Linked DNA regions of Tribolium castaneum. The protein of the gene in region 2 purifies or fractionates together with the protein of the main gene of each other region. This does not show direct contact. Links are inferred from orthologs where the notes say so. Each region holds a gene or a part of one and is shown on either strand. Other genes may lie near its edges.

Evidence for each region.
Region 1: the proteins of U3 small nucleolar ribonucleoprotein protein MPP10 (region 2) and U3 small nucleolar ribonucleoprotein protein IMP3 purify together in Homo sapiens (affinity purification with mass spectrometry; 4 studies listed by BioGRID and IntAct, with this or other methods). This does not show direct contact. The link is inferred for Tribolium castaneum from reciprocal best matches to the Homo sapiens genes MPHOSPH10 and IMP3.

What each region holds. Positions count from the first base shown.
Region 1 is NC_087400.1:10,480,950-10,483,807, reverse strand, and holds U3 small nucleolar ribonucleoprotein protein IMP3, read right to left. Parts: upstream 1,702-2,858; 5' UTR 1,634-1,701; coding exon 1,497-1,633; intron 1,452-1,496; coding exon 1,344-1,451; intron 1,297-1,343; coding exon 1,193-1,296; intron 1,147-1,192; coding exon 971-1,146; intron 921-970; coding exon 900-920; 3' UTR 587-899; downstream 1-586. Other genes in the region: serine/threonine-protein kinase GL21140, read left to right, coding at 2,164-2,490, 2,540-2,764. UniProt on the Homo sapiens protein: Component of the 60-80S U3 small nucleolar ribonucleoprotein (U3 snoRNP). Required for the early cleavages during pre-18S ribosomal RNA processing. Part of the small subunit (SSU) processome, first precursor of the small eukaryotic ribosomal subunit.
Region 2 is NC_087399.1:8,513,307-8,517,051, forward strand, and holds U3 small nucleolar ribonucleoprotein protein MPP10, read left to right. Parts: upstream 1-1,187; 5' UTR 1,188-1,266; coding exon 1,267-1,346; intron 1,347-1,394; coding exon 1,395-2,754; intron 2,755-2,803; coding exon 2,804-2,941; 3' UTR 2,942-2,963; downstream 2,964-3,745. Other genes in the region: zinc finger protein 142, read right to left, coding at 1-393; protein SLC31A2, read left to right, coding at 3,117-3,388, 3,434-3,657. UniProt on the Homo sapiens protein: Component of the 60-80S U3 small nucleolar ribonucleoprotein (U3 snoRNP). Required for the early cleavages during pre-18S ribosomal RNA processing. Part of the small subunit (SSU) processome, first precursor of the small eukaryotic ribosomal subunit.

The DNA.
Region 1 (2,858 bases), on a different chromosome or scaffold from region 2:
TTAAAAATGACTGAATTTTGGCAATAAACACATGTTTGCTATTGAAAAAAAAATTGCCCATAGGCGTAATAAAATGATTTTCAAATCCACTGATAGTCTTAAAAAAAATATAATGAGATCCGTAAGATGAAGAATAATGATCAGATTATTAACAGTAATAGTAATTTTTTTATGTATCTTCGTTCTCAAAATTTATTAATGTTAAAATAACAACTGGGTAAATTTTAGTGAAAAAAATGCACGTCTATGTATTTCATTATCTTAACCAAGTGAGTGCAAGAGACTTTTATGTCACTGACAGTTCGCCACCAGATTTGGAACCACCTCTATACAAGGACTTGGTGTGTATACTATGGAGTGTTGACAAATCATTTAGTAAAATTACCGTTGGAGACGCCACTCAGCTAGGTCAAAAAAGTAACCATAAATGGCGGAAAAAGCGCTTATTTGGATATTTTGTGTGTTGTACAAATTTTGAGGCTTCACAAGTATTGCATAGCGTATGCGGAATAACTAGTGTTATCTTTGGTGCAGGAAACGAATGTTGACAAATTAGAGATGACGAGAAAAACACGAATAACGAATGTTTGTTTCACTTTCTTTGTTGAATTATTATTAGAAAGACATTGAAAAGTCTACCTTTTGGAACAACTTCTGCTTAAATGTATCAACAGTTGGTAATCATCTTAATTGTAGTTTTCAAGATTTAGAATTGGGTTTTGTTTATTTTTGATACACTCATGTATGGCATAATGATTTACAATTCCTGTATGTTTTGGAAAAACAATAAAAATTTATAAGGACTTGGTGTTTCGTTTTACCAAACCAACTGAGTAACCAAATTTAAATTTAGTTGACAGTGTTGCCACCTACACTTAAAATTAATAAGGAAAATGTTATCACAACACGAAATCATCTCTCTGGAAAAAAAATGGTAAAAACCACGTTCTACATTATTTAAAAAATTTACCATTCCGTTATATTCAAGCACATGTTGTTTAATCTTGGAATTATCGACCCACGTTACAAAATCTTCCAAAGTCCTAGTTACAAGTAATGCTGGGTCTTTGACCAACTCGGGCCCAACCCTGACATGCCCCTGTTCAATTAATTTAGTAGCCCCCTTAATATTTTCAGCCATTTTATCTAGAAATTAATTTGGGGCAAAATTCTAACAATAACAACGACTTACTTCTAACCATTACAACGGCCAGTCGCCGCCGACAAAAGCACGAAGCTGTCACTTTCTCGGCCAGACTTAAGTCCCACCTTGTCGGTATTAACCCCATTAAATACCTAAAAATAAAAAACATAACCTCACTTTTGACAACGTTCCAACTTACAGTTTTTCCAACAATTGGGCACTTTTCTCAGTCCGGAAGGGGTCCTTAGCGTCCACTTCTTTAATTTTGCGGGCCAGTTCTCTAATATTACGGGCCAATTTGTTGTAACTACAAAATAAAATAAAACAAATGTCAAAACCGACCTAACCTCACTTTGTATAATCCTCGCGTTTCTGAATGTGGTACTTTTTGAGCACTCGCACTTCGTGCAAATTATTGTCGACTTCCCACGATATGAAGTCAACTTTTTTCAGGAGTTTTTGTTCGTGAAATTTTAATTTCCGGACCATTTTTGAAAATTGTGATCAGTCAAGGTGACACTCATGTGTGCCAACTCCGCCGGCCAAAATATTTAATTTGTTGATTAATTGTTGACTCACGCGGGCTATTTTTAATCAGTTTGTTAAACAATCTGTGATTGTGGCCGTGTCCAACGTGTGATAAGGTCCGGTTTGTGAAATTACGTTTCGTTTAATTTAGCTGTGATTTTCGTGGGGTTGGCTGCCATGCGTAACAAGCATCCCTCCCACTTGCCGAAAAGAGGTTATTACCTTTTTAACCGTAAAAACAGTTAGTTTAGCACAAAATCTAATTTTTTCATAATGAGATTATAGTTTGATTGTGTTGTGTGTGAAGTGTACCTTGAAAATCGCTAAAGAGTGGTTTGGGGATCTGTGGAGTTGATGTTTGGTGTAGTTTCGGTGACAGCTGGCAAATAGGCGGTACCAGTTTGTAGTTTTGGTTAAAAACAGCCCCATTGATTAAACACCAACGATGTTACGATGATTTCACGCCCCTTGTGACGATCCCACTTGGCAAAATGTCGAAGAACAACATCAGCGGCTCCCGAAGCGTCTCCTCGACCAGTTGTAACAGCATACAGTCCGACTTTGAAATCATCGATAACGGCATTGAAGAGCTAAATTTGAGTAAAAGCAGGCCCTCGTCGACGTCGCGGACGCAGAAAGCGAAAAGAATCCGATTTTACCATAACGGGAATAAGTTTTTTAACGGAGTTGTCATACCAGTGGCCCCCGAACGGTACAGGTCTTTTGACAGTCTGACGACCGAACTGACGAACATTCTGACTAAGAATGTTACTCTCCCCAGCGGTGTGCGCAACATCTACTCAATGGAAGGCAAAAAAGTATTAACCGATCAGATATCAAGACACCATAAATAATTTTTTCGCCCAGGTTTGTAGTTTGGACGATTTAGAGGACGGTAAGGAGTACGTCTGTAGTGGGAAAGGCGAGATGTTCAAACGAATCGAATACACGAAAACCGACACTTTGCGATCAAAAAAACTGTCCAATACGAAATTTAATAACTCACTTACACACACTCCAAGAATTATACCTCCAGATTGTGTTCGGCCTCGTATAGTCACCATTATTAGAAACGGGATTAAGCCCCGAAAGGTACGAAAATCAAGCTCGGAAAAGACAGCAAGTAACTGTATAAAATTACTAGTTCAATAACCAGTTCATTCGTTATATAATTAAAATAATAAAG
Region 2 (3,745 bases):
CGTCTCTCCCGACTTATCGACCAGTTTCATTAACATCAACACTGAGTTTTTATCGGTGACTTTACACCGACTTGAGTAAATGTGGTTCAAGAGAATCAGTCGGGAGTAAGTTTTGAAGTTGCAACTTTCACAAACGTAGCACACTGTCTCATTTTTTTGTCGATATATGGGGATTTGTGTCAAGGAATGTGTCTTCAGTTGGGCCAAAAAGGGGGTTAAGGTACGACACGAGAGGCATTTGTACGGTTCGAGGAGGCCGTCGATGCACTTGTACGGTTCCAAAACTCTACGTCTCTTGGAATTTGAGCTGAAAAAGGTGGATGTTGTGAAAGGGTGGCTTCGAGAACTGCGGAATCTTTCGGAGCCAAGGGGGTGCAAATCGATGTCCCCCATCTCACAGTTCATTAAGAACGTACACAATTCGGGTTAAAACCGCATTTTTTAATGTTTTATTTCAAGACATTGGTTAGGTTATGGAGCGTAGTTCGTATGCACTGACAGTCGGTGAAGGTGCACTAAAAATTGGGGTGGGACTGTGGAAATTACAGTCGACCAGACAACTGCTGCGCTTGCAGCTGGCACCATTTCTCAATCATTTAAATTAAAACTTAAGTATACATTCAATTTCTGCATTTTTATATGTCACTAATCTATCACTATAATATATCAAATAAAAAAAAGACATAATCTGTCAATATAAATTGCACAGCAAGAGTTGATCTAAAGACTTTTTGAATGCTTTGTTAAAATTTAAATCGTTGTTAAAAGTTAACAACACGAATGGGCCAGTCCAATTGTTTGAATGTGGTCACGTGACCAGTTAATCACGCATTTAATTGTAGATTAAATTAATGACGCTTCTATAAACCGGTACTAAAAGTGTTTTTACATTATTTTATTTATAAATTCGTTTGATGAATCATTAAAAACGTTTGTTTGATACGCTTTTATATTACCAATAAAAAAAATTAAATTGATGTTTGGGCGAGACCATGACCCCCGTTCCCCCCACCTGGAACCGCCCTTGGTGGACAAACACCCCTCGGGAAAGACTACCGCTAATTATTACAAATAATAAATTAATTAAATCAGTTAGCTCACGCCAAATGATCACAGCCTTCAAAAGGATTTCAAACGCTTGCAAATTATTTTTCCATAAAATTTAACTTCGACTATAAACTACTCTCACCGAAGGTCACACGAGTAGTTCTGTTGCACACCATAACCTTAAAAAACATGTGTTTGTAAATTTGTAATGCGGAAAAAATGGTACAAACTACGGATTTTTACAATACGTGCCTCTCAGATTTTAAGGAGATAACGCACAAACCTACAAATTTCCTCCAGTGAGTTATTTTATCAATTTGTGTAACAGTTGTGTAAATTTTTTGCAGGATTAGTGACCCTCTTTGTGAGAAAATCAAAACTAGCTTAAAAAAATGTTACGATTACGCGAAAGCGGAGGAAATCACCAGAACGGACGCTTTGCCACAATTAAATGTAAAAAATTTCGACTTGGAGCAAATTTGGCAACAAATCGAGTTACAAAACGAGAATTTAACCACCAAAAGTGTGACTTGTGTTAGCAGACTAATCGCTGGTAAAAGCCGACTTTTATTTAAAAATCTAGACAAGAGTGGAATTAGCGATGACGGAAGTGAAGTTGAAGAAAACGATGATGGAAGTGAAGTTGAGGAAAATTCGGAGCATTCTGACACCAGTGGTGATGAATCAAACGATTTAAACGACGTGGAGAGCTCTGATGATGAAGTCGAGACGACCGAAACGAGCAAACCCGTAAAACGGTCAATCGTCGACGATGATTTCTTCAAACTGGACGAAATGGAGCGTTTTCTTCGCGAAGAGGAGAAGAAAGAGGAAGGTGTTGATTCCGGCAACGATTCTGAATCTGAGGCAAGTGTTGATTTATTTGAGGCTGATTCCGATGACTCGGAAGATCACGCAAAGACGGCGAAATACAAAGACTTCTTCGTCCAAAATGAAGAAAAGCCGTCGACTTTCGAATTGCGCCAAAAGCGTCTGGCTAAGAAAATCGAAGAAATTGAAGAGGAAGCAATTCAGGACAAGACTTGGCAATTAAAGGGTGAAATAACGGCCGAGAAACGGCCCCAAAATTCGCTCCTTGAGGAGGTCGTGGAGTTTGATATGACGACAAGGCCGCCCCCTGTAATGACCGAACAAACCACAATGCAGTTGGAGGATATCATAAAAAGAAGAATCAAAGACAAAGTGTTTGATAGTGTGGAACGTAAGGCAAAGCCGGTGGAAAATTTGTTAGACTATAAGAAAAAAATCGTCTTGGACCAGGAAAAAAGCAAAGAGTCTTTGGCACAAATCTACGAGAAGGAGTTTCTTCAAGCGCAAGAACCCGAAGATAGGGAGAAAGAAGAACCAGAGCTCCACAAGGAAATTAACTCTTTGATGAGGAAATTGTTCACGAAATTGGACGCTTTGAGCAATTTCCACTTTACGCCAAAGCCTGCAGTTCCCGATTTGAAAATTATCAGTAATTTACCGGCGATTAGTGTGGAAGAAGTGGTGCCAACTGCGGTAAGTGATGCCACATTGTTGGCACCTGAAGAAATACAAAAGAAACCAAAAGGTGATCTCGTCGGAGTGAAAGAAAGGACAACGACTGATAAAAAAAGGGAACGGAGAAAAAAGAAATTGAAGCAAAAAATTCACGCCAAAAATAAGAAGGAACCAGTCAAGAAAGCAAAAAATGTTAATTTGGTGGGTTTTGATTGGGTTAAGGGCTTTTATTTTATTTCCTTGGTTGCAGATGGAGGACAAGGGAAAGAGGATAAAGTCGTCCAAGGAGTTTTTCAATCAGTTGCAAGAACAAGTCCAGGTTTCGCAAATTAAGAGAAAAGCGGCCCCTACTACCAATAAAAAGAGCGCGAAAAAATTAAAATTGTAAATGAATAAATCCTTACTGTAAATTGCGTGTTTTTCTCATTTACCTACAAATAACATAACTAACAATTTCAAGTGATAAGCGTTGATAAGCTTATCGTTGAATTTTGATGTGGTGAACATAACCTCAATTTTTCTCTTTAAAACCGTTGATAAAATGTGCTAACGCGGGTTTCGCCATGCATATGTCGTTTTGGTGGGACTACAAACTTACCGACTACCTCTTCCGGGGGCTGTCGTCACACTCAATCGCGGGCCTTGTCGGTATGTGTCTCAGCGTGGCCTCCATGTCTTTCGCTTTCGAGTTTCTCCGTTACCTGCAAGCCAAACAACGCCAGAAAGAACTGATCCTCAGGTCGGAGCAACTGAAAACGATTTGCCCCACTGAGACCTCGACACTGCTTGATGGGACTCAAGCGCCCCCCGGGGTCACAATCACGCCAATGCACAGGTTGTACTATTACAAATGTGAATAAAAACAAGACGTTTGTTTTAGAACGTTTTTATTCGTCTCGGAGATTGGGCTCTGGTTCTCTTTACAAAACTTAGGTTATATTTTGATGTTGTCTGTTATGTTGTACAATGGATGGTTGTTTATCTCAGCTGTGGTGGGCGGAGGCTTGGGTTATTTCGTGTTCGGCCAAATGTTTATGAAAATTAATCTGCAAAATTGCCAGATAATTAGAGATACCTGGTGTATGCAAAAATGCGGAGAGCCAGGTGAGTCATGAAAGGTTCAAACTTAATTTGAGCTCCAACCCGTTTCAGACCCCGATCCCGAAACCCAGTCCACTGATTCCTGAGTAAA